Nothobranchius furzeri: one gene and its partners. The protein of the gene in region 1 interacts with the protein of each later gene in a pairwise test. Links are inferred from orthologs where the notes say so. Each region holds a gene or a part of one and is shown on either strand. Other genes may lie near its edges. The genes, in order: cdkn1a, spred1 and bccip.

The links.
Region 2: the proteins of cdkn1a (region 1) and spred1 interact in binary tests that used the Homo sapiens proteins (3 or more experiments, as listed by UniProt). The link is inferred for Nothobranchius furzeri from reciprocal best matches to the Homo sapiens genes CDKN1A and SPRED1.
Region 3: the proteins of cdkn1a (region 1) and bccip interact in a two-hybrid assay, tested with the Homo sapiens proteins (2 studies listed by BioGRID, with this or other methods). The link is inferred for Nothobranchius furzeri from reciprocal best matches to the Homo sapiens genes CDKN1A and BCCIP.

What each region holds. Positions count from the first base shown.
Region 1 is NC_091743.1:46,699,605-46,707,797, forward strand, and holds cdkn1a (cyclin-dependent kinase inhibitor 1), read right to left. Parts: upstream 3,472-8,193; 5' UTR 3,341-3,471; coding exon 3,338-3,340; intron 3,204-3,337; coding exon 2,753-3,203; intron 2,671-2,752; coding exon 2,615-2,670; 3' UTR 2,304-2,614; downstream 1-2,303. UniProt on the Homo sapiens protein: Plays an important role in controlling cell cycle progression and DNA damage-induced G2 arrest. Involved in p53/TP53 mediated inhibition of cellular proliferation in response to DNA damage.
Region 2 is NC_091758.1:26,565,503-26,576,581, forward strand, and holds part of spred1 (sprouty-related, EVH1 domain-containing protein 1), read left to right. Parts: intron 1-6,129; coding exon 6,130-6,388; intron 6,389-9,148; coding exon 9,149-9,317; intron 9,318-11,079. UniProt on the Homo sapiens protein: Tyrosine kinase substrate that inhibits growth-factor-mediated activation of MAP kinase. Negatively regulates hematopoiesis of bone marrow.
Region 3 is NC_091756.1:42,758,903-42,770,610, forward strand, and holds bccip (protein BCCIP homolog), read left to right. Parts: upstream 1-5,104; coding exon 5,105-5,245; intron 5,246-5,367; coding exon 5,368-5,442; intron 5,443-5,515; coding exon 5,516-5,596; intron 5,597-5,682; coding exon 5,683-5,769; intron 5,770-5,848; coding exon 5,849-6,036; intron 6,037-8,246; coding exon 8,247-8,415; intron 8,416-8,530; coding exon 8,531-8,701; 3' UTR 8,702-9,213; downstream 9,214-11,708. Other genes in the region: mmp21 (matrix metallopeptidase-21), read right to left, coding at 50-189, 515-1,346, 1,456-1,602; uros (uroporphyrinogen-III synthase), read right to left, coding at 2,196-2,318, 2,407-2,505, 2,589-2,674, 2,807-2,890, 2,989-3,063, 3,591-3,665, 3,768-3,864, 3,965-4,048 and 2 more. UniProt on the Homo sapiens protein: During interphase, required for microtubule organizing and anchoring activities. During mitosis, required for the organization and stabilization of the spindle pole.

The DNA of each region.
Region 1 (8,193 bases):
GGTTATCCAGTTATCTCTGTAGTTATGCTGCTATAGGCTTAGACTGCTGGAGGATACACTGACCACTTTTCACACTCGACTACTTTCTTATACAATCTGCTCTTTAACTTTATTATTTCCTGTTATTTCAGCTTGTAATTTTTTTTCCTCTAAGTGTTTTTCTCCCCAGAAGAAGCTACAATGATGTTCTGCTGAGCTGTGGTGGCCTCATGGAGGGGGCCATCGTCTAGCACACTGCTGCTAACCACTAATACATTCTCTCTCTCCTGATAATAACTTTTTGCTTTCCTTGACGTTGGATGTGCTACTACTAGTTTACCCGTTTAATTATAGATTCACTAGGATAAATACAATAAAGTTTTTCTCTCGCCAAATAGAATATTTACTAAGCAATCACAATGTAACCATAGACACATGGCTTGGTGTGTGTGTGTGTGTGTGTGTGTGTGTGTGTGTGTGTGTGTGTGTGTGTGTGTGTGTGTGTGTGTGTTCTGTCTTCTCGATCCCCAGTGAGTCGTGGAGGATGGCTGCTTATACTGAGCCAGGATCCTCTGGAGGTTTCTTCCTGTTAAAAGGGAGTTTTCCTCTCCACTGTCGCTACATTTTTGCTTAGTATGAGGATTGCTGTAAAGTCACTGACTTGATGCAATTTGCTGGGTTCCTTATATAGGAAACCTTTTACTGATTGGCTTAATGAACTGAACTGCATTGGGATGCTTACTGTGTGAAGTGCCTTGAGACGACTTTTGTCGTGATTTGGCGCTGTATAAATAAAATTGAATTGAATTATAGTTTAAATTTTATGATTATATTAACCCAGCTTTGAACTGCTCTATTTGGTTAAAAAAAGCAACCAATTTATTTCACATTTCAAAATAAAATGAACATTTCTCATAATTAATACTTGCAAAATGGAATGATTGGAAAAGTGACAAAAACAATTCACAAGACAGCCAGTTTTAAACTTTATTGAAATTTAAAATGAGCATAAACTAAATTGACACAAATTATGACATATCAATAAATAAAACACATTAATTTGAAGTTTTTACCAAAAATTGCATGTAGAGCATTTAATAACAGAAGTGCATTTGTTGTTTGTGGAAGTTGGTGAACATTTTAAAGTTCAATGCGTAAGAGATTAACATTACAGGACCTTGTGTGTCACCATTCAGATTTTCCATAGCAGCAGGATTTGCCGGAACAGAGATAAAAAATAAAATAAATTATACCCTTTGTCTGGTAAAATTGCACTTTGCTTCCAAATACAATACAATAAAGCATGTGGTTACGTACACTAAAACACTTTCACCCAGTTGTCCTTTATGGAGCTTAAAATACTAAAAACACATGTGCCACAAAGACATGTAAAACACCACCCTCGGATTTATGTGCAACACTGCAATGTTTTTGACTTACAAATATAAACAAACAAACAAACAAAAGCCTAACTGTTACTACATCATATGTGTCCTACAAATGTTTTAGAGACATGATGCTACAGATATAACCTACATTATCTGAGTCTAAGCAGGGCAGTTGTGGAGGTTTAAACGGTTTTAAAAATCAGTGGATGAGATGGAAAAAGTTGGCACTTCTGCTGATTATAGTCTAAGCAATGCAACCACATGTTTAAGGATATATCACAACTCCATAAGCCGTTTTCCGATGACTACGTAAAGCAGAGGTCCCCAATCCTGGTCCTGGAGGGCCGGTATCCTGCATGTTTTAGTTTGAATTCTGTTTCAACACACCTGATTTCAATCAGCAGCTCATTAACAGGCTTCTGCAGAGCCTGATGAGCTGCTGCACAGGCGTTTCAACCACTGAATCAAGTCTGTTGGAGCAGAAAAACCACAAAACCTGCTGGATACCAGCCCTCCAGGGCCAGGATTGGGAACCCCCGATGTAAAATATAATGCACTTAAAAAAAAAACTCCTATAAAAAGACGTAGAAAAACAATTATAGATTTGAACAAAATAGACAAAGCTCTCCTGTTTTTAGCTTTCCTGCGGCTTTGCCACAGAAACGTATTAATCTGAGTCCTGATATTTGTTCGCACGTCTGCTTTTCATCCTCAAACAGGCAGAAGTCCCACCAAACTGAGATGTGATTGTGTTTTAACCCTCTGGAGGCAGGCATCGCAGATCTGCAACAGTTAAAACCTACCTACCTGGTTACTCCACACAAGTATCTCATGAGCATTTTTTAACTCAGAAGCACCCCTGAAGGACTTAGTTGTTCGTCCTTTTATCAAAACGAGACCGAGAGGGTTAAGAGCTGTGTGACGCGCCGTAACAAATGTCAGTCAGCAATTTGGCGAGCTCTCAGTCCAAATGAGTATAAATCCACTGATTCCAGAGATTACTGTTAATCTTCTCTGCTCAAATGTCACCTTCTTAACTGCAGCGTGGACAGAAAACACCAGACCCCTCACACATGCAGCATCTTAATTAGCCTGGTGCCTTCTGGGTTTTTTTTTTCTTTTTTTTGTTTTTTTTTTGTTGGATGATTCAGCACTCCCGCTGCTCGGTGTGGAACAACTGATTCCTGAAGGAGGTGCTGGTTCTTTGTCTGGTTCTCTTGGGAGTTTTGGCACCTTCAAAGGAAATATCACTCCCCGGATTTCCTCGGCAGCCAGACAACTCTTCTTTTAGCCTGATAGAAATCTGTTGGGTTAAAGAAGAGGATACTTAGCTTATGAGAAAAGATGAGTGTTTCTAATTTGATATAAAAAATATCTAAACATACCTGTAATGTTTGTCTGTTTCCTCTTCATTCCTGATTTGTCTTCCGTCTCTGATGTTGTCTCCATGTTCTCCAGACTCAGAGAACATTTCTCTAGAGTTTGGGGGAAGTTCTCTTTCTCCCTCTCTGGTACCACCACCCTTCCTCTTTTGGTTGCACCTGCTGACCTTTGACCCTCTGCATGTCCTGCACAGATGACGCTGGATCTGTAGGGCAGTGGCACCCTGGTACCTGGGACAATCTCCCACTGGAAATCACCGCTCTCCAGAGGTTTGTCGGAGAAGAAGTCGAACCCCCAGCGTTGGGAAGCCTCCTCCAGATCTTTACGCAGGGCAGTCCGGTACTCCATCTGGAGCTGTTCTCGGTCCACTGGGCCAAACAGGCTCCGCCGAGGGGGACCGTTCCTTCTTAGAGTACTGAGGGCTCGCTTGTGAAGTGTAGCCATCCCTCTGCACTGTAGGTAAAAACAGGAAAACTGATTAGTTTCAAAAGCCACAATCTATTTTGTCCACAGTCTAAAAAGTACACAAACTAAATGTTTTTAATATTTTCAAACCAGTGATTTAAACAAAGTTTAGTCAGACTCACCATGGTTCTAGCCTAACAGCTCCTCAGTGAACTAGACTGCTTCTGTGAGCTGACGGGCTTTTATAATGCAGTGCAGCAGCAGCAGTGAGTCACTAGCCCTCCTCTCTGGTACATGTCTGGGCATAATCTCTCACAGGCATGTAAGGGCAAGTCCTCTGCTGTTGTGGTGTTTGGTGTAAGAGAGATAAACCACAAGGTGGCACTGTCACTCCGACTACAGACAGCTCGGAGGCAAACACCAGAGAAATAATTCATCTTCAGTTTACGTTGAAACTGAGGGAAACATGTGACTGTTTTCTGACTCTGACCTGGGAAACAGGTCATTCAGACCATCCAAGAAGGAAGGAAGCATTCAAGGAAAACAGTCCCTGCCCGTCCAGTTACGGTGCAGCAGATGAGATTGGGAGATGAATAAAATACGTTATCAGTGATTAAGAGGACACGAGCTTATTTTACAGAAGCTGTTCCAGTTATCTGCAAACGGAATCTGGAAAAATCTGCTTCAATTTGACGTGAAGATGCGTTTCAGTAAAATACTGATTAGTGTTATAAATAAAAATGTGTCAATGAAACAAGTCATCTGTTATAATCTGATATGATTCTGATTTTTATTTTCATACAAACACAAGCACAAACCCTTTTTTCTGATTCATAAAATATGAGAGTGAAATATGTCTCTATTTTAGCTTGATCTGGCTCCTATCATGGAGTTCAGTTTGGTTTGTTCATGAGAAAAAGAAGGGCCCTTTGCATTTTGATCAAAATTATCTACGTAGTAAAGTCAGTTGACTACAGTCTGTATCAGAGTTTACTAAAAAATGGGTTTGTTGGACACATCTAATGACCACTAAGACTATGTATGCAGTGTTCAACGCTCCCACCCACAGCACAGGGCTCAGAATAAAGCTCCCCAATTGTGGGTGGATCATTAGGTTAATAAAAGGGTTTGAAGGATCCCTGCTGGATCCCTGCGCTGCCCTGGTCCCACAGAGGAAGGGGGAGGGCGTTTCTTTTACTGGGCAGGGTGGTTCTGGGAGGAGTGACTCAAGCTTTGGCGGGAGAGCTAGTCATGCATGACTGAGTTGGACCCAGCCCAGTTCAGCTACAACTCTGCTCCACGTGAGTCTGGAACTCGTGTCAAACTGGGATGTCACAGTTTGGACTCACCCACTCTCTCTCTCTCTCTCTCTCTCTCTCACACACACACACACACACACACACACACACACACACACAGACATGTAAAAAAAACTAAAACCACCAAACAAGAGTTTATGGATTTCCTGGATGTGCAAAAATGAGATCGCAAAGATCCATTTATGTCAACTTTTCACACCTCTAGGAACACATTAGTCCTGTAAAAACGTTTTTGTTCTTCAAATGTTTAGAATACAATTATTAATGAGCTACAAAAGTGTATATATATATGTGTGTGTGTGTGTGTGTTGAGTTTTAAAGGTTGTGAAATCATAAATCTTACTCAGATGCTTAGAAGCTCTTTTAAATTTAACAACTACTAACTTCTTACATATAAAATAACATCTTTAATGTGTTTTACTTACATGTTGAGCCAAATCAGGTGCAGTTCGCTTCTAAATCTCCTCTCTTTTAAAGCTGTTGTCTACTGAGTCAGCTTTTCCACCTCCTCGCTGCTTGTCTCCAAGTTTCAGTGTGATGTAAGGCAAAGTTTGAGAATGAGGTAACTGATCCTAAAGCCTCCACAGATCCATAGGATAAAGAGTATTAGTGAGTCTCGGAGAAATCTACAAGTGTTCTCAAAGCCATGGACAGAGACTCCACTGACTTAAACTGGTGGGAGGAGACACCCTCCTCCTCTCAAACAGAGGTGGCGCTATCTGTCCCACGCACGTGGAATTTGTCCCAAAAACACACAAGCACACGTGAAGCTTTGGCAAGGTACTGGAGGGAATTTCAGGCCAGGACGTCTGGTCCTAGAGGTGCTGCCCCACCTCCTCTCAGTGCACATGACTGAGTGCAGCAGTATCCTGGAGACAGACACACACACACGCACACAAATGCACGCACACACTCTCCCAGTTTCTTGAAGACATTACTTTCATAGTCTGTTAATCTGATGATTTTAGGTCAAAATGTCTTTATTGTCCACCTATTGCTCACTTTTCTGAAGCCTGGAAAAAACTTTAATTGATAAAGTTTACAACAAAAAAACCCCATTCTTTAAAAAAAGTATATTCTGAACCTTTGTACAGTTGCAGCTGGTGTAAACAAACTAAACATGTATTAAAATTGTGTCAAAAATAAACACAACAAACACACCAGGAAGGACAAGTAAGCATATTTATTTTTACTAAAGAGATTTTAGTCGTTTGAATGAGCTTCTGTGTAAAACTTCATCATTAATCATGAATAATTACTTTTTTTCTGAACACCACCATCACTTTCACATGACACAGCTTTGTTCACAGAACCATTAAAGTGACGGCGTGTTTTTTCCATGGCGATAGGGGGCAGTACATATCTAAATGTGAAAAACAACTATGTTTATGAATGGCAAAAGTTTTGCTGCCAGTATTTTTCAACAACTGGGCATCATTTAATTCATTTTCAACAGCAGTTTGATGGATATTTCCAGGGAATAGCGGTAAAAACTACACTTTGTCTCTTTAAGACATTCCTGCCTGACTTGACCTCATATTCCTGGATGCATCAGAAATACACACTATGCTATTTTGTAAATAACCATAATGTTCTATACAAATGACTGTAAAGCAAAACTGACGCCAATGTTAAAACATATAAAATAACATTAAAATGAGCTGCTATGAAACCTTGGATGTTAGAGATGTTTTAACACTTTTCTTTGGACTAGCGCTTACAGCAGGATGTAAACTGTTTCTACGAGGTGAGGCTGTTCAGGTGGTAATAGCTTTTATACAGAAAACTTTTAAATGGCTGAAAAATCTCTTTAAGTGGTGTTTTGAACAAACCAGGATCAGCTGAAGAGCCTATTTAAAGTGACAATTTGTATTTTCCCTAGCGATGGGGGAGCAGCATTTTTGTGTTTGAGTGAGGCCTTAACAACGGATGGCCATTAGGGTCAAAAATCACTGGGAGCACATTTTTTTAAAATGTTTACTTCATCAGATCGTTCAACTTCCAGCAAAATAACAAGCAAATCCCTTTCATCACTGACGAGTGAAGAGGTAAATGTGTAAATCAGCGATGTTTGTGAATGGTGAAAAATTTATAACTGTTTGTTAAAACTCAGTGAATGCTTTTAGTCCTCACCGGCTGCCATAGAATGAAACATGATATATAATATGGCATCGCCCAGAGACTAAAGCTTGGTTTATGCTTGACGCATTTACTTTCCGCTTGGAACGCGGATGGAACGCGCTTCACAACTTGCAGCGTTTATGGTTCATGCGGTCTCTGTAGTGAGCCAATATTCTCCCAAACTGTAGGGGGCAGCATGGAGCTCTACGGCATGCATCCAACACTACACCATAGTAGAAGTAAAAATTACTGTTGTTTACAACATGACATTCCAGCATTTTTAACAGCGTCCTCGTCTTTTCCGACAGTGCGAGCTATTTCTCTCCAAGAATTATTAACAACATGTTGATCACGGTGATCTTTGAGAGCTGAATCATACAAATGTCTGTATTTACGAACCTCTGCCATACTAGTTCTTGCCAGTCCGCCATGTTTTTCCGCATCCGACCGTCTGCGTGGTTAGAAAATTTCCTAGGTGCGCGATGTGTAAAGTTTGGTCCGTGCGGAGGCACAGTGGAGGGGCGTGGTTGTTAAAATGATGCAATTTTGCCGCGCGGAGCCGTGCGAACCTCGCGGACGCGTCAAGCATAAATCAAGCCTTACACCCGATCCTGTGTATTTTAGACCTGATTTTTATGGTTATATGTTTCAAAGCCGCCAATATTTTCAAGAACTAGGCATCGTTTAATTCATTTTCAACAATTAGATGGATATTTCCAGAGATTAACAGTAAAAACTACACATTGTCTCTTTAAGTGTTTTAGATTATTACACATATAAGTCCTGATAAGATGAGTGACTTGTGATCTGAACAGTGAATAACAAGTGAGACTAACAACTCCAGTGAATCCACCTGTAGCTCTGAGCTCAGGGGAATCCTGCCACGTTAAGGGGCCCTGACTAGTCTGTTCCAGGCATCCAAACCCAGAGAACATTTTAATAATTACATATTGCACCCAAAAAGTTTCTCTCCACCCACTTTTGCTGTTGAAGTCATTTTGTGTTTATTCCAGTATGAGTCACCTGCCAGGCACCATCTCACTGCCCTTCAGCAGTTTCCAGCAAAACAGTGAACTGTAGTTCACCATGGCCTGGCTGCTCTCAGACCACAGTGAGTCTTTTGTTATGTTGGTGCTGATGTGGACTTGGCATCAGCAGCACAGCATAGCTATATTCTGTTAGTTTATATAGTTACTGCTGTATCCAGTGTGTTTGGGACTAAACATCAGCTGTTTTCTACAAAAAGCTGCAACAACCGAACAGCTGAGTAACCTCGTATTTCAATTGCAAAGAAGCTAGAGCGCTGAAGTTTTGAAAGAACCTAAATTACTTCATTATATGCTTAATATCATATGGCTTTTATCTTTCCTCCATTGTCCATTGAAGGTCTAGTTGGTGCTTAACTCAGTATGTAATATTAGCATAAACACTATCTTAATAATTAATCTGCAGAAGTAATAAAGTTACTTTGTTAAAAATACTGGTTTCATCATCTTCACAGTGTGTAATGCGTTGAGTATGTACAGTGCTCAGCATAAGTAAGTACATCCTTCTTAAAAAGTACAAATGTAATTAGCAGCTCAATGAAGAACAGAATT
Region 2 (11,079 bases), on another chromosome or scaffold:
TATGAAGATCGGCTTTAGAGCTGGGATGTTCTCACGGTGTGGGGGCTCATTCCGACACCCACACAGTAAAAAAAAAAGAGCAAATGACGACTTTAGTCGTCATTGGCAGTAAACAGTTGGATTTAAAATGACTTTTGTCATCAATGGCAGTGAATGAGTTAAACACAAATAACACAAGCCTGGAGGAGTTCTGCTGTGTCGTGGAGTTGCTAATGCGAATGGTTAGCTTCTACTAGCTGAGACGTTCTCTGCTGTTTCCTGAACACTAAAACAAAAACCGCCTTCCCCGTCACGAGTCAAGTTGGCTGGCTCCATGAATGTGACAGTGTGACGCAGATCTGTCAAGATTTTCAACTCTTAGTGTATTTTATATCAGAAGGTAATGCAGGAGATAGGTGTAGGAGACACATTCTGAGACCGACACAAATTGAGTGATTCAAATAAATGGTAAATGGCCTGTATTTGATATAGCACCTTCTAGAGTCCTGGAACCCCCCAAGGCGCTTTACAACACAATCAGTCATTCACCCATTCACACACACATTCACACACTGGTGGGGATGAGCTACAATGTAGCCACAGCTGCCCTGGGGCGCACTGACAGAGGCGAGGCTGCCGAGCATTGGCGCCACCGGTCCCTCTGACCACCACCAGCAGATAACGTGGGTTAAGTGTCTTGCCCAAGGACACAATGACAGCGACAGACTGAGCGGGGCTCAAACCTGCAACCTTCCGATTACGGGGCGAGCACTTAACTCCTGTGCCACCGTCACCCCAATATATGTAGTTCTATGAAATAGATGATAGCCAACACAGATTTAGAGCCTACTAATAGCACTGATTCAGTGGAAGATGGGAGGAACATTTTGTGTCACTTCATACAAGACAAAAGAATTAATATTATCATGAAATAACTTATTAGTTTGGTATTTTATGCTTATTTCAAGGTTATATTTTTCATCAGTATTTTACATTACTAGAACTTCTAAAATAATACACTGCCTGTAGTAATAATAATAATAATAATAATAATAATAATAATAAATCTGGAACTCATTTGCTGTTTCCCCTGGAGTGAATGTTTCTGTGATTCATTCATTAGATTAGTTTATCTGATCCTAGTTAGTTTGTAATTTTTTATTTTTGTCAATCTCATCAATCGTTAGGAGAAACTTCCAGTCACCTTTTACAAGGTGCCAAGTGCTTTCACATGAAGAAAGAGCTTCAGATTTAATGCTCCCTGGCTTTTAGAGTAATTACTAACCCAGACCCAGGATATTGAAGTTTGGCAAAGGCGTGGAAGGCTGGAGACCAAAGGTTAGCGTTATTGAGCCGGCTAAAAGAGGAGGCATTAAAGGACAGGAAGCAACTGTTCAGCTTTTGTGGCAAGAGCTCCATTTTATTCATTGTAAACGTTGAGTTATTGTTAATGAAATCTCTCAGTATTCAACTACTTTTGGGAGGGCATTCCTCTCAATCACCTCATTTTCTGTGACATCATGTGAGCTGGCTAAACTTACACGGAATGGTGTATCTTAAGACATCCAGTCATCAAGTTGAGGGCTGTTTTTCTCTCTCATAGCTCTCGAGTCCTCGTCTTTAATATGTTACCATTCATTTGTGGAAAACACTGCCCTCGGCGCACCTTGACCTTTGTCGTTTCCGATGGCCCAATAGGCTGTTATCTAATCAGGGAAACGTATGACTTCAAGCAAGAAAGCAGGGAAAACAGTAAAATGAATGAGACCTATATTCATATTTGAAATATAAAGTTGTTTGTCTGTTTTGTTAGCATGTTTCATTTGGTGAGTTTATTGCCATCTTAGAAGTTAAACACCCATTTTTAAACTGTAAATAGTAAGTGAGCAGCCTGTCGCAGATAAGCGCTATAGGGAACTGCAAAGTGCAACAAAGAAAAGCACATTTTGTTGTCATTTTCTGATGTGACATCTTGTGCATTTGTACTAGTCATTTGTAAGCAATCAGATGACGTGATTGATAGTTTGAGGCTGTCTTACAGGGATTCATTTGTGATTGAAAGGGATTGTGATCCAGAGCCTGCTGTTATGTTCTGTCTGGTTTAAACCTGCTACCGATGCAAATTTGGAAATCAGAAGTTTTCACAGACTGAACTTGACCACATGGTCAGTCACCCTCTGGCTCAGGTTAAACATACACCGACAGCTTCAGACAAATATAAGCATAAAAACTAGGGGTGCACGGATTGCAGTTTTGGCCGATCACCAATCTTGTGAAAACCTGACTTGCCGATACCGATTTTTGCCCATACTGATTTAGTCTTAAAGGGACTTTACAGAGTTTTGAATTTTCATGCTCGCGATTGCCCCCTCAGGACAAAAGCGTAACGGCAATAGTAGGTTCGTGCACGAGGCGCGAATGCTGTACGTGCACACTCCTTAACGAAAATAACAGCTGAGACAGTCCCGTGTGTGTGTGTGTGTGTGTGTGTGTGGCCCGGAGGACAGAGGACAGGAGAACACGCAGCTAATTAATTAAATCATTTGGTTCTGTACCTTTCTCCTCAGCACAGCCGACAAAGGTTTAAGATGGGTCAGTCTTCCTGCATACTCAGACCATTCCCTTCCCTTGCTTGAAAATTGTTCCAAAATGAAAGTTGAACCCACATCTTTTTTTATCTGTGAATTCAATGCCGTTCGGCGAGTCTCAAATAAAAGTTTAGGCATCTTACTGTAAAAAACAATATACCATTAATGTAAAAAAGAAACTCTAAACGAACTATGTTCACATCCAGTTTCGAACCCAGGTCTTCAGTACGAGAGTCCGACGTCTTACCAGGTGAGCTATAGCGCCAGTGACGTGTCTAGTACCTGTAACCTTTATATCCTTGATGACAGCTGAAACAATGTTCAAAGAACGGTTCGGAGCGAAAATGGCTATTTTGTTGCTAATTTGCAGGAAATATCTAGAAGAAAGTTCTACAGAATGTAGCTAAAGCCGGACGTACACTGTGCGACTTTTTCACTCGTAGCACTCAGCTTCAGCTCAAACTGTACGACTTCCTCGCAGGGCAGATCTCACGAGTCATGCGCTCACACTGTACGACCCAGTTCTCGGATGCGACCTGACTGCTCACACTGTACGTCTGGTAGCAACACGTCGGCCCTAAAAATATGCTAAAAATAGCAGTTTTTACTCAACACGTCAGACTTTTTTGTCTTGTTTTGCCTGTTGTCCTTCGGGAGTGCTGCAGGAGGACACACAGGGATTTATGGGGGTTGGATGAGTAAAACGAAATGAAGAAAGTAAATCTGTGTTTTGTGATCAGTTTAATTTGACATGAACACGACTAACACGCTTTCTTGACAATCTTTGTGAGTAAAAAAAACGTGTAGAAACAAAAATGAACAGCGTGTGTTATTAGGGAAATAGCGAGCGAGCGGCGTTGATGCAGGATTGCGCATGCGCCGTGAGCGGTTCTGATACATTTTGGGTCGCAGCTGCTCGCAGCGCCGCTTCAACAGTGCAATACCCTCACGAGGGATGAGCAAACTATTAAACACGCCAGAAGTCCGTGCGAGCTCACGATTGCTGATCGGTAGCTGGTCACTTGGTGTTAATCGCCTCTCATAACCCCCTGTACACTACACGACGCTCGGCGCAAAACTCGCCCCGATCAAGTGGATTCTCGCACGAGTGGAAAATCGGCTCAAAAAAGTGAAAAAGTCGCACAGTGTACGCCCAGCTTAAGGGTCCTCAGAAATGTAGCTAAGTTCATCACTAGGCGTTAGGAATAGGGATGAGTACCGAATTCGGTACTTTTTAAGGTACCGACCGAATTCCATAGTACCGACCGAACACCGATTCACGTCATTTCAAACGGTGCCTCGTTTCGGTACTGCCAAGACAGTTGCGCATGCGCAAGAGCGTTATGTTGCCGGTCCCTGCGAGCCCGTTGTAAACAGAGCAAGCATGGTAGAAAGAACGCACGCTAAAGCTTGGGTCCACTTCACTAAATGTGATGGGTAACTGGGTGATGAAACTAGCGACAGACAACGATCTAAGTGAGACATCCTCATCTTAATCTGCTCCAGTAGGTAAATAAAATGTTTAAGATAACGTTACCTTGATTTGTTAGCTTCCGTTTCGCTAATGGTGCGTTCGCTTTCTCCTCGGAACTCCGAATTTCCGACTAGAAGAACATGAACGCGCTCTAAAGTTTGGCTTTACTTTACTAAATGCGACGGGTGAATGGATGAAGGTAAAACCAGCGACAACGATCTAAGTTTGAGGCATCATCGTTTTAATCTGCTCCAGCAGCTAAATAAACTGTTAAAGATAACGTTAGCTTGATATGTTAGCTTCCATTGCCACCGTTGTTACCAGCTAATGGTGCGTTCGCTTTCTCCTCGGAAATTCTAACTTCCCAGTAGGAAAAATCAAAAGAAAAAGGACGGCAAAAGGAATGAAGATACACAGTAAATTTAGTTCACAGTAAAGATGTTTGCTTCAGTTTAATTATCAGCTTATAAAACTACAAGGACGATGTTAAAATACAAACTTGTATGTTATTTATCGTGATATTTATCAAATATGGTTATATATATATATATTGAGAAAAATATATATTTAATTATAAAAGAGAATTAAAATAATAAACACTCAAAAGTATCGAAAATTGGTACCGTTAAGTACCGGTATCGACTCGTAGGTACCGGGAATTAGTACCGGATCGATTCAAATGTCAAAGGTACCCATCCCTAGTTAGGAACAGCGAATAAGTCGCTGAGTTGGCACTACGTGAACGTGCATGAAGCAGCCTGCTCGACCCGAGCATCTCTTTTTCTGTGATTTTACAGAAAAACAGACAATCACAGTAAAAATGCCAGGGCTCATTCTACAGGACCAGGGCATTGCAGGAGAATGTATGAAGAAGAAATTTATTATTTCTATACATGTTTTGGCTGTCAAACTTCCATAATGCCCCTTTTAACTAAAATCAGATTATGTCAATGTTTCAGTTTCCTTTTATTGAGAAAACCAAGATGAATACTCATGAAAACGATGCCAGTTTCAACTGGACATGTAATGTTCTCAAATAGGGATGTAAGAAAATATCGATATGGCAATATATCGTGATATTTTTTCCATCAGTATTATATCGATATTCAAAAGCCGTGTATCGGAAATATCGATATGGCAATATATCGTGATATTTTTTCATGCGATTATTACATCGATATTCAAAAGCCGTGTATCTAATTCTTGAAATAATTTACATGCAAACTTTTGTGTATTTTCTTTTCGTTTTGTGCAATTCAATCGCCACCCGCTAGTTGGCAGCAGTGTGCAACAGGTTTTGTTTCCACCATTGAACTGTAAATCCCTCCATCATGGTTCAGATACCTCATGTTAAACATGTTACGTATCAGTTTGGACTGTTTATTGAACATTCTTACAATAAATTCAGTAAAAAAATTTGCTTGTAACGTCTGACTGAATGTATCGCAATATATCGCGAAATATCGTATCATCTCCTCTGTATCGTGATACGTATCGTATCGCCAGCATTTCAAAAATACACATCCCTGTTCTCAAATATAAACAAACATATTTAGCATTGCTGTTTGAACTACAAAATCATATTTATTCCTTTAGACTTTCATTTTTTCTAATTTAGAAAACAAACTGTTGTACCTGTTTTGACACACTTGTCCAAAAAAATTATTCTATAGCAATAATTTGCTTTAACATCAACTAGGGGTGCACCGATTGCCGTTTTTGGCCAGTCACCGATCTTGGAAAAAACTCAAGATCAGGGTCGGTAGATCCGTCGGCAGATAGATCGGTGCATCTCTAATATAAACCATGCATATACTTTTTCTACAAGGTACGATAAACCTCTTTAGGTTGGTCCTGTGTGTAATTTTATGCATTAGATACAAGGTTAAAGCTAGCTTATTGAGTCTAAAATCAATCTATAAATCTGAGGCTGAGTAGGTCTGATGATGCTTTTGTAGTTCTTGTGACATCATTAAAAAAAGAATCCCGTTAGAAATTAAATGTATTGTTTTTGTATGAATTAGCTAACCATATTGTTTTTTTTTCTCCATCCCTCCCCCTTTGCCTTATTCCCTCCTTCCTTCCCAGTGACAGTTATGCGCGTGTGAGAGCAGTGGTCATGACTCGGGATGACTCCAGCGGTGGGTGGCTCCCCTTGGGGGGTGGAGGCCTTAGCTGTGTCACTGTCTATAAGGTCAGCCGGACAGAGGACATCAGCAGCACCCACAGTGGAGGCAGCGGAGGAAGTGGCAGCAACCTCAGCCCTGGCAGCCCCAGCCCCAGTCCCAGTCCGAGTCCCACCGTCGTGGAGTTTCACATCAGGGGCGAACGGCTCAAAGACAAATTGGTGAGACAATCTCAAATGTCCTGCTTTTCATTTTCACAAACAGGAAATGGTTTGTTCTCTCAATGCTGTGGACCCCAGTTTTCCAGACACCCTCCCTTCATCTCTCTCGTGCACACTGACACAAACAGGAAGTGGGTTTTTTGGCCTTCCTCCGTCGCTCAGTCTTCTGAAAATAGGAGCAAACAGCATAACGCTGTGATGCATGATGATGTCATCAGACAGAATGTGGGAAAGAACATGGATAGAATATGAGTTTAGTATTTCCACACTTTTATTTCCTGCCTTTTAATAGCAAAGCACCTTTCTTCTTAATTCTTAATATTGTCACCCAGCCTGAAGAGCATGTTTAGCTGTCTCCAAAGGATCAAAGGGTGTAGTCTACTGTCACTTTATTATTTACGGCGTTTGAAGTAGCTGCTCATGAACTTTTTGTCTTTCTGTCCTTTAAATGCAAGACAGATCCAGTAGACTGGCTTTAATAATCTGTGGTTTCAAGGGTGTAAATCTATTTGTGTGAGAAAAGCTGCATTCCAGGAGGCGAACGAGGCCACCTCGATGCTCAGAATCTGGTGATCCCAGACAATCTGACAGCAGAGGCTCGTAACAGGGGCGTCTGAGTCACGGTTTTTAATCTTCTTCCACTGAACTCACTTCATGCTTATTGCATCTGTGACGTTATCCAGGCGCGTGTGTGGCACAGAGAAGGGCGTGATGAGAATTCTGTTGTCCAGACATGGAAAAGACATGGCTCAGAGACCCCAAGCAATTGTGATGGGGATGTGGTGAAACACCCCTATCAGCGCCAGAGTTCCCAGCCGCCACAACAAACACCAACCCATATGTAGGTTAGTCAGGATGCCACCCAGGGCTGGGGTGTCAGCGTCAACCACAGCGCTACCAACTGTCTGGGGGCATCAGAAGAATCAGCGGCTACAAAGAAAACCACATTAAATGCTAGCCTTGGTTTAAAATAAAAATCCTTGTTGCCACAGTGATTTCTTCTAATTGGTAACACCGGTGTTTTTATTTAGGACCTAAACAAGAGACTATAATTATGTCATATGAGTGATTTCTAAAACTGAAAGAGTAAAGATGGAGTGGGTTTTTATAACTCTGGAAGCCATCTTTAGTTTGTCTGAAACATAGAACAGGAACACAGGCTACCATATTCTAGCTACGTCTAATTTATGTTGACGAGAAGGGTTCCTTTTCAGTGATTAATCAGTTTGGAAATGGACAGAAACACTTTTCTGTTTCTAGCAGCTGAAAATAAAAGTCAGGAATGCAGTTACTCCAGAGGAAAAAAGGAAAAGTGTGGTGGTAATTGTGATACATACGATGTCACAAAAACTAGAAAAGAGTCATTTGTCATGAAAGAGCAGGAAATGGAGGCGGAGCCATACGGATGGGAGACAGAAGAAGCGAGTTGGAGGGGTTTTGTCTGTAAGCGCAGTGATGCGGCGCAGAGTGTGCTGGTGATGACTCAGCTGGCTCTCTATATAGCTACCAATCACTCTCCTACTCCCTCCCTCCAGTCTGTCTCTCTCTCTCTGATTCTTCGGTCGATGATAACTTGCCATACCAGCTCTCGGATTATGACAAATCTCTGGCTAATCTCCCTGCCACTCCACCTCGCTTTCTTTCATTAGCAGTCGTTGAGTACCTCTGATTGATGCAGCTGTGAATGTGTCGTTGCCAAGGCTTCCTCTGAATAGCTTTACCTTGCAGCCCAGGTCTATCTGACACAATGCGTTTCTACAGTTAACCTTGCTGTTTTAGAAATGACCACAAATCACTCATCAGCCTATATTCATTACGAACAAGTTTATTTTGCAACACCTCTGGATGTCTCTGTTAACATGTCCTGCCTGTGTGCTCCTTCTGTCTTCTTTTCTACAAAGGTAGCTCCTCCTCCTCCTCGCTTTTCTTTGAGCACATTGTGGAATGCGGTGTTAAGTGTCATCCTGCCATGCAACTGTGATACTTTTTTCCCTCTGTCAGGCCTTGCAGCATGCTCACCTTACCTGCTCTGGCTCCATTCAGTCTCGCCTCTACAGTCACCCCCCCAGAGGCACCTCGAACCCCTCCTCCCCCGCCACACTTCTTTGCCACCCCATCTTCTCACATCAATTCTTCTCATTTTCCCTCCTTTAGGCTGTGGCAGGTAGTGACACGGGGACTGAGTTTATAAAACCATATTGGCATCTACTGCTTATATTTTGAACGCACCAGCTCCAGCAATGATCCCGTGAAAACACACACACACATTCACACCTTGTTAAGCCTCCTCTCGTGCATGTCAGTGAAAACCTCGCGGACCGTAATGGCCATGCCTCATTTCATTTAATCTGCCTAGAGGAAGGCCGGGAGACGGCCAGAAGCCCTGATTAGGGAAGGTTTTAGAAGCACATCCTCTCTTTCTGCTTGGCTCTTGGGTTTCCTGGCTTCAAAACATCCCATACTCCTCTTCAACCTACTTCAAGACAAGCTTGTGTTTTAGAGATTATTCTAAAATTGACGAGAGATGACTGAATTCGTTGTCATTTTTCTTTCTTTTGAAATTCTAGACTTGCACATGCCATCCCATAACCAGAAAGAACACATCAGAACAGATGTGACACATTAAAGCGCATCAGGAAGTAGGATGATGGATTAAATGTGCATCAATGTATAAAGTTAATCCTGAAACCATTAAACCAAACAGTGACATCACAAATGCCTAGCTGACTGTCACAACGGTGTGTGTCCGTATGATTTTAGGTGGTGCTGGAGTGTGTTCTACAGAGAAACCTGGTGTACAATAAGGTCAACCCCATCTTCCACCACTGGAGAATCAATGACAAGAAGTTTGGGCTGACGTTCCAGAGCCCCGCTGACGCTCGAGCCTTCGATAGGGGCATACGCCGAGCCATCGAGGACATCAATCAAGGTGTGGGCATGTTACAATAGAGTCTTGTGTGTGTCTTTGCGTTTTAAAGCAGGTCAGACCAGATCAGTCGGTTGTTACTCAGCAAAATGTTCCTTGATTTAAAAATACTTTTGCTACTGTTTTTTTTAGCCCGATCAAAAACATCTAAACCACTTCCAGAATTCTCACTTCTCTTCTCGTCTGATCCGATTTGTTCAGAATTCACTCCCGAGAGTTTGGCCCTCACTAGCTTCAGGTTATTGCCGTTAACTTAGACATTTGAAATAAGCCGAATGGCTTTTTATGAATGCACCATTGACATTTATTTCTGCCTTCTTCTGTTTATGTCTCGTATTGGCCAACCTCTGTTCTAGAAGTGATGCGAAGCTTCGATAAGTGTTGATGACTCCACCGTCACTTCTACTTGTTCATTGAACCCAATCGTGACACCAGCTCGTGATATCATATCAGTCCCAGCTGCTCGGATAATCTCGCTACTTCCTGCAGGGACTGGCTGCTCAACGCTTTGCCTGGAGAAGGGATGGTATAATACAAATGCGGGTAGGAAAGGGGTGAGATAGGGGCTGAACTCAGGAGATCTTTCATTGAGCTGGATTATTATTATTTTTTTTTTGTGAAGTAATTAAAAAAGGTAAAGGCTAGTAGTATAATATGTAGTATTCATAAGTTTCCTTAAAAGATTACTTAGATTTTGCTGTGCGGAGTTCCTTCCTAATAAGCAATATTTTTATTGTATAGAAGCAGAAGTTGCAAAGTCATCCAATTAGTAGAAGTGTTGCTAGCTCAGCAATCTGCTACCCAGCCCCATGTTACACAAGAGGTGAGCTGGCTAGCTGGGAGGCTATTATCTCTCTCTCTCTCTCTCTCTTTTTTTTTTTTTTTTTTACGTTTTAGACCTTAGAACCATAGGGAGTGTAGAGGAGATCCAACAAAACCTATCATAAACGCTTATCACAGCTGGGCATCAGTCTCCTCTTGCCCACAAATGCTTATCTGAGGTTTGAGGATCTGGGCACAAGTCCAGGCAGCGTCTAGGTAACAGGAAGTTTTACGGCAACACTGGCTTAGCGGACTGCTTTTCTCGTAAAATAAAATATGAAGCAGGAAAGAAAACATAAAGAATTGATTTTAATGAGAGTTTTTCTTTACCAGTGTTATTATTTGAGCTTATTCTTCAGATTGTTTTTATTTATTTATTTTTTCAAAATAAAGACTAATAATCAGCTTGTTGATTTAGTAATGTTTAAGTAAAATAACAAAAGTGGCCTATTTCTTTGTTCTGTATTAGAAAAGAGAAATGTTTCATCTTATACTTGGAGTCTGGTTTCAGTTTCAACAGCTTTATGAGTTATTCAAACAAAAATAAATATTCAACTAATACAGATAAAAACAAAAAAAGAATTTAATTGTAATTGATATGAATGTGTCGTTACAGCTGCAGTCGTGAGATTTCTGCAGCAATGATGCACGTCCTCCAAATATCAGAGTGACTTCACAGTTTTTACTGATCATAGAAGCGTCCAGTCTTTCCTGTGAATGTCAGCTACAGGAGGTGATGGTGGGATTTGACTCCCCTGTGCCTGCCCTCCTCCATCCCACACTCCCTCCCTTCCTCTGTTGCCGTCCTTGACTTTGTCAGTTTTGCCTTCCTCTCCGAGCATCCTCAGTATTCTGCCGGTGTTGTGTAATGCCTCTCCTCGGCGCAGGCAGGCGAGTTCGTCTGTATTCCTGTTGCGTCTCTGTGCTGCTGGACTGCTGCGTG
Region 3 (11,708 bases), on another chromosome or scaffold:
TCTTGATCATTTTTTTGTCTCTAATTCAATCCAGCACACCTACACTTACCTTAAGGAGGCTGATTCCACTGTGAGAGTTGGGAGCAGTGAAATGCTCATCATCATCAAAGTGTATATCACCAAGGAACCAGGCATGGGCAAATTCTTGCCCATTTCCGTCAAACCTTTGATTGCATCCCAAATGCCTTCCTGTATGCAGACAAATGATGAGTAATAAAACTCTACAACTGGCATTACATACAACTGAAGCCTTCTCAAGTCTGGTAACTGTCACTGTGCCAAAGTGTACTTTTGGTGAGCAACAGCAAAAACACAAAGCACTGAACCAAAATTCAACTGTCCCAATTATTTTGCAACTTTGCAGACAAGCACACGCGCGCACACACACACACACACACACACACACACACACACACACACACACACACCCACACCCACACACACACACACACACACACACACACACACATTTTCTAAACTCCAACAAATGAAAGATGTGTCCTCTGAAGCCTACCTGTGCCAAAGCCCAGCCTGATATCAACATCCTCCAAAGGTGACCTAATATCTTCAATAAACTCCAGTGGTGACACCTCACTCCACATCCTGAAAGCCAGTCTGAAGATGTACCTTTGCTCCTCGATACTCAGCTGACTGCTGTAGCCTTCTCCGATCAGCCGCCATTTTAGTACACTCTTAGAAAAAGCAATGAAACCAGTTTGATCCAGGTCTCTTCTCTGCCGCCTTTTTGACACCAGACTGGAAAGGTGGCGCTTCCTGCGTCTAACTGTGTCACTCAGACTTGCGTTCATACTAATTTTCCCCATCTGACCATCCAAACCACTGAAACTGGAGCTGTTCCTGTTTGTATCATTTGAAATACCCACGAGAAGAGTATCTGTATCATTAAAATTGAAAATGTCATCATCAGAGGAATTAGAGCTGCTGATGCCTGTCTCATTAAAACTGTCACTCAGACTGTCTTCGGTATCTGGTCCATCAGTGTTCTCAGGCTCTACGTAGGCGTCAATCTCCTTGTCGGGGACTCCACACCTCGGTTTGTTCATCGCCTCCTGGGTGGCCTCATCAAACACCCCTGTAACAGGCAGATCTGAAACTCTCTGGAACTCTTTAAGTGCTGAAATAAATGCTTGATTCCCAGTTTGGCTCACATGGACATCATGAGTGCCACTTCCGGGACCATCTCTTGAATGAGGCACTGAGGTCCCCTCCTGAATTTTGGCTTGTAGATCATCCAGGATGTCTTCACTGAAATAAGTGTCGGAGCTCTCCGTCTGGATCTCCTCCCAGTTAATCGGCTTGATGAATCCATATCTAGAGAGAAATAACTAAAGCAAGACCCAGAGCTGGCTTGTTTATTATTATAGATACAATTGGTAAAAAACAAACAAACATATATTTATACATATACACACACACACACACATTATAAATTACCTCGGCTTTGTATTCATCTGTAATAACAGGAGCCTGGTGAGTTTTAAGGATCTGAACATCAGAGTGATCCCGATTATGGAAAAGTTTCTCCGCGTTGTTTGGGATGGTCAGAAAGAGCAAAGCAATCAGCTGGATGGAAGTCAGCATCGTGCCGTTAGTTTTTACTAACAGCAGGAGCAGCACTGCTTTATAAGCAAATGTTTCTCCACACCCATCTTAGAGGAGGGACTGTCTGGAGGTTACACTTTCCTCAGTTGTGCGTGAAAAGTAAACTCATCAGTTTGACCAACCTCCATGTCATTCATGCTGCGATGATTTCAACAAACTGTCACCAAGCCGTGGACACCTTCACTTTCATCTGAGCAATAAAAGATGTAAAACACTTTTGCCAACACCTGCTTACACACACACACACACACACACACACACACACACACACACACACACACACACACACACACACACACACACACACACACACACACACACACACACACACACACACACACACACACACACACACACACACACACACACAGAAATGTTTTACGCAAGATTTGTCAAACTGATTAAGGTTTATTTTCAAAAATAATTTAAAATACATTTTTAATCAAATCTGAGATGAAAGAAAAATGGCTAAACTACATTTTTCAGTGCAAAATCAAGAAAAGGGCATCAAAACAATGACAAAAAAATCCCAAAACAATGAGAAACAATAAAAAGTGTATTTGTCTGGTTGATTACTGAAGAGCGTCGGCTATCGCTGCAGCCAAGTGTTGAGCTGTTGGTTGTTCTGCTGTGCAGCTGACACACAGACCCTCTGCTGCCATAGCATCTCGTGTGGTGGGCCCTATGGCTGCAAACTGGAAACAGAATGAGCGCTGAAGACCTGTGGCATGCTCCATAATCATCCATTTCATATATTTTTGATTGACCATAAGGAAACTTTACCTTAATTTGCGTCAGCTGTTCACCTGACAGCCTCCTTACAGCTTCCAGGCAAAACTTCACCCCAGACGGACTGAAGAATCCTACACTCCCTGGAATACCCTAAGAACACAAAAGCAAATAAACACTGGTTATATATGAAAATTATGTTTTTATCAAAATAAAAGAGGAGTTGGGAGTTTCACCTGCTTTGTGAAGTAGTTTTTTAGATTCTTCTCCAGATCTGGATGTTCAGTAGTTTGATAGACAGTCAGAGTCTCCAGGGGAACCCCTGGAAACAAAGAAACACATCCCCAATGTGACAAAGGTAGTGCAATTATTATTTTGTTAATTAGCTTAACCCCAGAGGGTATTTCGCCGACCTGAGCTTTAATCGTGAGACACAAAAGAGGGAAAATCTTACCATTTTCCCTTAAAGCCGTGGGCAAGACTTCTCTTTTAATTGAACCACAGGGGAAGAAAAGTGGTGGGATATTTTTTTCCTCTCCTAAGAAATGAATCAAATATCACTTCATTTCAGAGATTAGAACAATTAAATGATTATACAGAGGTGTAAAAAATGAGAGAACAAAAACCACATCGTACTTTCGATGATGAGACGTGATAGGACGTCTGCTGTCCCCGTGTCCTCACCCTCGGGCTCCAGACCCAGGCTCTGTACTGAAATCATAAAAAGCACAAAGATTATAACAGAAATGTTTAAAAAACGGGTTTTTACAGGTCTTGTCTACGTATGTAAAAAAACATTCTAGCTATTTTTAAATCACAACAAATGAGTGATTCAGGGCGTAAGGCAAAGCATATTAGAATACAGCTCTTATAGCCCCATCTACTTGCATTTATTTTTTCTTAGAGACCCATGAGCCGACTGGAAAAGGAGGAGACTTGGGCTTCCTACAATCAAACACTGACAATGGAGTCAGCTGCCACTAGACTAACAAGGTAAAACCAACATTAGGAAGGTTTTACACTTGATTGGTGTCTTCCAGATCAAATCCAGTTTCTGTGGTTCACAGCTTACTGCCACTTGTGTGTAACAGCAAACTGAAGGTAGTTACACTACTTTACGCACATGTATGAACACCAGGTGCTCGTCACACCCGGCTGCATCTTTCACTAGTTTATAACGTGCACTATCCATAAAAACATCTAGAAAAAAGGTGTCTGCAGGTGCTCTAAGAACTCACCTAAAGCTGCAGTAGCCTTCCCAACCACATAGATGGATTTCCTGTTCCATTTGTCTTTCAATGATTTGTTCCACTCTGGATGAAAAATATTGTTTTACAAATAATATTATTAAAATTCTCAAGCAGAATTGGCACACAGACACGCTAATGCTTTAATCATGCTTGTTTCATTTTGACCTTGTTTCCTATCTTTATCTTCCAAGCACAGCTTCACAGCTTCCACCGCTCTTGGACTAGTGAATATCAAGCCACCGTGTTTCTCTGGTTGAAGAAGCTTATGAAATAAATACATTAAAATGATCAGTGGTTTACACGTGCAGCCATAGAAAGTTAGGTAAATGACACACTGGTTCAGATAATGTTATTTAATTTACCTTATCTGACAAGGTGTTTGCTGAGATAAACTTAAAAGACAACACTGGAATTAGGGTTGCTTTGTGCCCACGTGATTCCAGCTCCTGTAGAGTAAAAAGCATAGCAACAAAGCAGTGTGTGTTTAGTTAAAACCACGTCATTGATTTGGTTAAACTGTTTCTACCTTAATGTAAGGATCAGGTCCAGACTCTCCATCTCTGGGGTCTTTAAGAAGCAAAACACGCATCCTGTCAATGAATAAAAGACAGTTCAACGGAGCCAATAACACAAGGTGGGTTTTGACATCTGTTAGAAAGGTATCAGCTGCTTTCAGAAATTTAAAGTAGTTAAATCAGAGGGTGTGGAGACTTAAGTAGCTCAGCTACACCCAGAAACGGTCACATGCAACCTACAGATAGCAACACTGTTGAGTCACGATCCCTGAATAGGAAAGATTATACACTAAACTATTATAAACTAACAATAACGTCAACTTGTATCGTAAAATCCGCTTTAGCGTAGTTGGGCACGTCGGTCTGTTGTTGCGGTCTGTCTGTTGTTGTTGTTGCAAAACACACTGACAGATTAGCCACGATAACGTTCCAGTTTAACCAAAAATACGTCGATTTTCAGCTATAAACGTTAATAGTTTTTGTTTAACATTAATTGCGCAATTATATTTGCAACAATATGCGGTTGGAAAGACGAAATAACTGCATAACATCGACATATATACATGCATAAGAATGAACACCTTCAGCTGTTCATCGGACGACTTCATTGGCATTTAAAAATAAGATGTCCAAAAATTGCCTGTCGATAAATGTCTCCCCAAATCTATGTAAAATTAGAAAATGTTTTATATTTACATTTTAAACATTTAAATAGGTCATCTAATGCAAGTTAGTGTTTATGTCACATATTTTAGAGACATATTTTCTATTTTATTCCAATATATTATTTACAACGTTTTCCCCAGTGTTAGGAAATGGTTCAGTCGCGTGAGCCAACATGGAGTCGACGTCTGTTCGGATCTTCTCGGGTGTACGCCCATTCCACAGTCATTTTGAGCCAAAATGGCGCCCGAACGTGTCCAGTTTCCTGCTATCCGTTAACCTTAGCAGCGCCTACTTAAATATACACGGGTTTCACGCTTGATCATGGCCTCATCCGCTAAGAGGAGAGCAGTGGGTTTGGGTGAGAATCCCGAAGAAAGCGACAACAGCTCGGATGAGAGTCCGGAGGATGACGGCGAGTCTGGAGAGGACGACAGCGAGGCGTCAGAGGAGGAAATCGACGAGGTGGCTAATCCACAAAACCCACGTGGCCTTTCTACCCGCTAGCTAGCATGTCCGTGATGTTATCATGAAGACATAATCATTTTTGGTTTAAAATGCATATTTTTTTTCTTCTCTACTTGCAGGAGGTCGTGGTGGATTTTGAAGCCCATGCGATTTCAAACAACGACTTCAGTGGCATTAAGAAGCTTTTGCAGCAGGTGCAGAACTGTGTGTTGTTGTCACATAAGCGTCACGAATAGTTGTCACTAATCTTTACTAGTTTGGACTCAGCTGTTCCTGAAGGCGCGTGTAGACACAGCAGAGATGACGGACATCATCATCCAGCAGAATCATATTGGGAGCGTCATCAAAGTGAGTCGTTTTTTTCCAGTCCCAAACTTTGAGGCGCTGCATTTTATCCCCTGTTCTGATTACGTTCCTCCTTCATCTGGTTCTAGCAAGCTGAAGTTCCAGAGGACAGTGATGATGATGACCCGGATGAAGTCTTTGGATTTATTGCTATGCTCAACCTCACAGAGAGAAAGGTAGGTAATCTCTGAAGATGAGTAAAATACGTGAATTTTTAACTTAATTTTGAAGGTTGTGGCTTTTCTTTTTTTTTAGGGCGTGCGGTGTGTGGAGGACATCAAGGAGCTGATATTGGATCAGTGTGAGAAGAATGCTTCTCACAGTGTGACTGAACAGCTGGAGCAGATCTTAAATGACACAAGCAAACCTGTGGGACTTCTGCTGAGTGAGCGCTTTATCAATGTGCCTCCACAGATCGCCCTCCCTCTGCATACACAGCTCCAGTGAGTGCTTCTTTTGCTGCCCAGTCTAACCACTTACAGGCTCCTATCAACAAATAATCACCAGAGAGAATAAGAAGTTCCTCTGAAGAACAAAAAAGAAACAGCACTACAAGAACATTGTGCCATCCATCCATCCATTTTCATCCGCTTATCCGGAGTCAGGTCGCGGGGGCAGTAGCTTAAGGCGAGAGGCCCAGACTCCCCTCTCCACAGCCACTTGGGCCAGGTCTCCTCCGGGGGAATCCCAAGGCGTTCCCTGGCCAGGTGAGAGACATAGTCCCTCCACCGTGTCCTGGGTCTACCTTTAGGTCTCCTCCCGGTTGGACGTGCCCAGAAAACCTCACCAGGGAGGCGTCCAGGAGGCATCCTGGCCAGATGCCTGAGCCACCTCAACTGGCTCCTCTTGATGTGGAGGAGCAGTGGGTCTACTCCGAGCCCCTCCTGAATGACCAAGCTTCTCACCCTATCTCTACGGGAGAGCCCAGCCACTCTTCGGAGAAAACTCATTTCGGCCGCTTGTATCCGCGATCTCGTTCTTTCAGTCACTACCCAAAGCTCATGACCATAGGTGAGGGTAGGAACGTAGATCGACCGGTAAATCGAGAGCTTTGCCTTCTGACTCAGCTCTCTCTTCACCAGGACAGACCGGTACAACGCCCGCATCACTGCAGATGCAGCACCAATCCGCCTATCGATCTCATGCTCCAGTTTTCCCTCACTCATGAACAAGACCCCGAGATACTTAAACTTCTCCACTTGGGGCAGGACCTCATCCCTGACCTGGAGAAGGCATTCTACCCTTTTCCGAATCAAGACCATGGTCTCAGATTTAGAGGAGCTGATTCTCATCCCAGCTGCTTCACACTGCTGCGAACTGCTCCAGCGAAAGCTGAAGATCACGATCTGATGAAGCCAACAGGACCACGTCATCTGCAAAAAGCAGAGACCTGATCCTCAGGCCACCAAACGGATGCCCTCCACACCTTGGCTGCACCTAGAAATCCTGTCCATAAAGGTTATGAACAGAATCTGTGACAAAGGGCAGCCTTGGCGGAGTCCAACTCTCACTGGGAACGAGCCCGACTTACTGCCGGCAATGCAGACCAAGCTCTGACACCGGTCATACAGGGACCTAACAGCCCCTATCAGAGGGCCTGGTACCCCAGACTCCCGGAGTACCCCCCACAGGGCCCCCCAAGGGACACGGTCAAACGCCTTCTCCAAATCCACAAAACACATGTAGACTGGTTGGGCAAATTCCCACGCACCCTCCAGGATCCCCCTAAGGGTATAGAGCCGGTCCAGTGTTCCACAGTCAGGACGAAAACCACATTGCTCCTCCTGAATCTGAGGTTCAACAATCCAACGGACCCTCCTCTCCAGAACCCCTGAATAGAACTTACCAGGAAGCCTCAGGAGTGTGATCCCCCTGTAGTTGGAACACACCCTGCAGTCCCCCTTTTAAATAAGGGAACCACTACCCAGGTCTGCCAGTCCAGTGGGACTGTCCCCGATGTCCACGCGATATTGCAGAGCTGCGTCAGCCAACACAGCCCTACAACACGGTGCCAGAGACGGAAAAAAAGTAACTCTCAGAACTTAAAATAATATCCATCAACATTGACATTTGTCGTAATGATCATGTGCACATGTGGGTGAAACATTTATTCTCTACATAAAGGTGCAGTCAAGTAGAACATGACCTTACTTTTGACGGCAGATCTGAATGAATCTGTCATAAAATAGCTCCAGTCTCAGTAGGATGTGTTTATATATGAAAGCAGTTTATTCATGGATCGTCACAGACCCTAACATCTACAGGCTCTGCCAGATGAATTTTCATAGCTTTATTAATGCATTTGTTGAACCTGCTGAGATCTCTGGTGCTGATGCTGCTGCCCCAGAAAACTACAGCAAGCACATAGTTCAAAAATTACATGAAGTTAAATCTGTCCTTATGACGTTTCTCAGTGCAAGAAGAAAACAGCTTTTGCCTAAAATAAATGATTAAACACTAACCTTCTTTGGGATCTGTGGGGAAAATCAATGAAATGAAACAGTGCCTCAATACATTTAATTCTGCAAAACTAAAAATAAGTTTGGTGATTTCAGAGAAATGGCCAAGCCCAAATTAGTATTTTCATGCTAACTGAAATGGCTTAAATATCTCCCAAGCTTGTTGATGACTAAATTCATCATGTCCTTTTTAGGAAAGAAATGGCTGAAGCTCAGAGAACCAACAAACCCAGTGAGAAGTGTCATTACTGCCTGATGGTCAGCAAGACGTGCAAAGAAGCTGCCAAGAACGTCCCGGCCAGAGGAGGAGCTCCTAAAGAGGAGTACATGTTTGTCAATGCCGAGGAGGAGTTCTTTTACGAGGTGAATGCTCTCTGTTTAAATACGTGATCACATACAGGGGAGTTTATATCAGTAACTTGAGCGTTTTACCTTCAAACTGTTAATAATAATGTCTTTGATGGGTTTGTTGTTGCAGCAAGCCATCATAAAGTTCCACTACTCAGTGCAGGATGATGCAGACTCGTGTTTGAGTGGCAGGTGGTCGTTTGACGACGTTCCCATGAAGCCATTCAGGACGGTGATGCTGGTCCCCGCAGACAGAATACCTGCAGTTATGGACAAACTGAAGGAATACCTGACAGTCTGAGACATTTCAGGACACGGTGAAGACCTGCAGCCTCATCAGTTGATCAAAAGCAGGATTACTTTCAAAAGTGTCCGTTTTAAGTGGGTTTTGTTTAAAAATGACTACAAACTGTCAATTAATTGTAAATGCAAAGGGCAGCTGTGTACAATTTGTCAGGTTTAGACTTAGTCTGACCCTTATGAGCTTTAAAATGACCGTTTATGATTTTGGTGTCTCCACTTGGATTAAAATGATGTCAAAGCGCTCTGTTTGAACACAGATTCTTCTGTCAGGTTTCAGTCTCTTTTATAATAATCCATTATCAGAGAAAGGAGTGGAGTTTATCTTGTTAAAGTATTTTTGTGGGTCACAAGTCTTTTGATCAATCACAGTCAAGGAGACAGCAGGCCAAACATTTAGATGCTGCAAGAGTGGTGTTCAATAGCCTGTTGCCCATTTAACAAGTTTGCCATCTGAAAAGTTGAATGTTGCATAAAGACTTTTAACGTGTAATAAATTGGTAACCCCTTATAGTTTGTTTCAGCTCACTTGATCACACTTCAGTCCCTGCTGCGCAGCTGCTGCTTACATCACTGCGGATCGTTTCTCTGTGTAGGGTTAGGGTTACAAACAGGACCTGCTGTTTGTCTCTACTCTCACTAGGAGGCAGCATTTAGAAGAAATGCATTAGTGCTATTTGAACCTGAAAATCATACCAACATATAAAACGTGAAGTCGCTACTGCACATAGAGATCACAACAATTGAGGAATAAAACAAATTAGCATTATCAAGGAATTCAGAGTAAGTTTAAAAACTACAAATATAAGTGGAAATGCTAATCCGCTACAACTGATGAATGAACTCACACGAGGGGAAACTTTGGTTCCAAAGCAGGGTCACGATATGGGAAGCTCAATCCTGATCAGGGTGTCCAGAAAATAATCCTGACACCACTTTCAACTCAGATCTGTCAGTCATTATGAGACACTTCAACCAAAGAACAAAACTTAATGTTTATTCTAATATCTATTCACATTGAGTAAACTAATTATTATAAGTCAGATATTTAAAGCTACAGATTGCTGTGAATGGATGAGGATGTACACTGGAGTTTTTGGCTTTGAAGGTGTAAACATGAGGGTGAGGTGATCCCCCTCAGCACGCTGGAACATTCTGGGGCACTGAAACGCCTTTTGAGTTGTGCCGGTGCAGGAAGCCATTTGGTTCTAAAGGACAAGAACCAACATAAACTATAAGTACAGCTCATTCTGGCTGTGAAGTCAAGATGAACTTAAGGGGCCAGACTGACAAGATGATCCTAATTTTGAACAAATTTCCATCATTGATGCTGGAAGCTTGTTCAGCTCCTATGCCTATGCCTGCATGCGGCTCTCCAGATCTGACGGTAAAACCTTGTGAGGGTAAAAGATTAATCCCTTTTTGTCTTTTGCCTTATAACAAAACTGAACACTTATTTGTTTTTACTCTTGTCTTTTTCATAAAATATGTTCCTGACTGTTTTTTTTCTTCTAAATGTATATTGTTCTCTTTTAACATTAACCTGCCAGAGGACTGCAGATGGAAATTAGCCTAAGGCTACAATCTGGCATATTTACAGTTGTAATGCTGTTCATAAATATGCATTGTCTTTTCTTTAAATGAAGTAATTAAAATAAAGATAATTTAGACCAATAAAAGACTATTGCAGCAAAGTGAGCAACATTTAAAATACATGACAGTATGTTTGGCTTGTACTTCCACTTCTTATAGTGCTGCATTAAACTAGATGTGTTGTACAATCTTTAATGAGCTGGCCTCTTTTCTGGTCCTGTTGGACTGGGTCAAACTCCGACAATAGTAACTCGCTGAGCTGCCAGCTCTGCTAAAGCATGGATGGCTGAGCCCAAATAGCCACACTACAAATTTATTTCTGGTTTTTGGGCCAACACACTTTCAAAATGCACCTCTTGACTGTGAGGAGATGCTATTTCTTGGAACAAGAAACATAGCTTACATCAGTAATGGTGTAGAGAAAATCTGTTGTAAATTCAGAATGTTTGTGGCAAATTCAAGCTTGTTTATGTCACTAGTGTAAATATTCAATCTTGCTTATGCCACTGGTGTAAAGATCAAGCTTGTTTATGTCACTAGTGTAAAGACCAAGCTTGTTTATGTCACTAGTGTAAATACCAAGCTTGTTTATGTCACTAGTGTAAAGATTCCAGCTTGTTTATGTCACTAGTGTAATGATTCCAGCTTCCATATGTCACTAGTGCAATGATTCCAGCTTCCTTATGTCACTAGTGTAAAGATTCCAGCTTGTTTGTGTCACTAGTGTAAAGATTCAAACTTGCTCATGTCACTAGTGTAAAGATCAAGCTTGTTTATGTCACTAGTGTAAAGATTCCAGCTTGTTTATGTCACTAGTGTAAAGATTCAAACTTGTTTATATCACTAGTGTAAAGATTCAAACTTGTTTATGTCACTAGTGTAAAGATCAAGCTTGTTTATGTCACTAGTGTAAAGACCAAGCTTGTTTATGTCACTAGTGTAATGATTCCAGCTTGTTTGTGTCACTAGTGTAATGATTCCAGCTTCCTTATGTCACTAGTGTAAAGATTCCAGCTTGTTTATGTCACTAGTGTAAAGATTCAAACTTGCTTATGTCACTAGTGTAAAGATCAAGCTTGTTTATGTCACTAGTGTAAAGATTCCAGCTTGTTTATGTCACTAGTGTAAAGATGTGAGCTTCCTTATGTCACTAGTGTAAATATTCCAGCTTGTTTGTGTCACTAGTGTAAAGATTCAAACTTGCTCATGTCACTAGTGTAAAGATCAAGCTTGTTTATGTCACTAGTGTAAAGATTCCAGCTTGTTTATGTCACTAGTGTAAAGATCAAGCTTGTTTATGTCACTAGTGTAACGATTCAAACTTGTTTATATCACTAGTGTAAAGATTCAAACTTGTTTATGTCACTAGTGTAAATATTCAATCTTGCTTATGCCACTAATGTAAAGATAAAGCT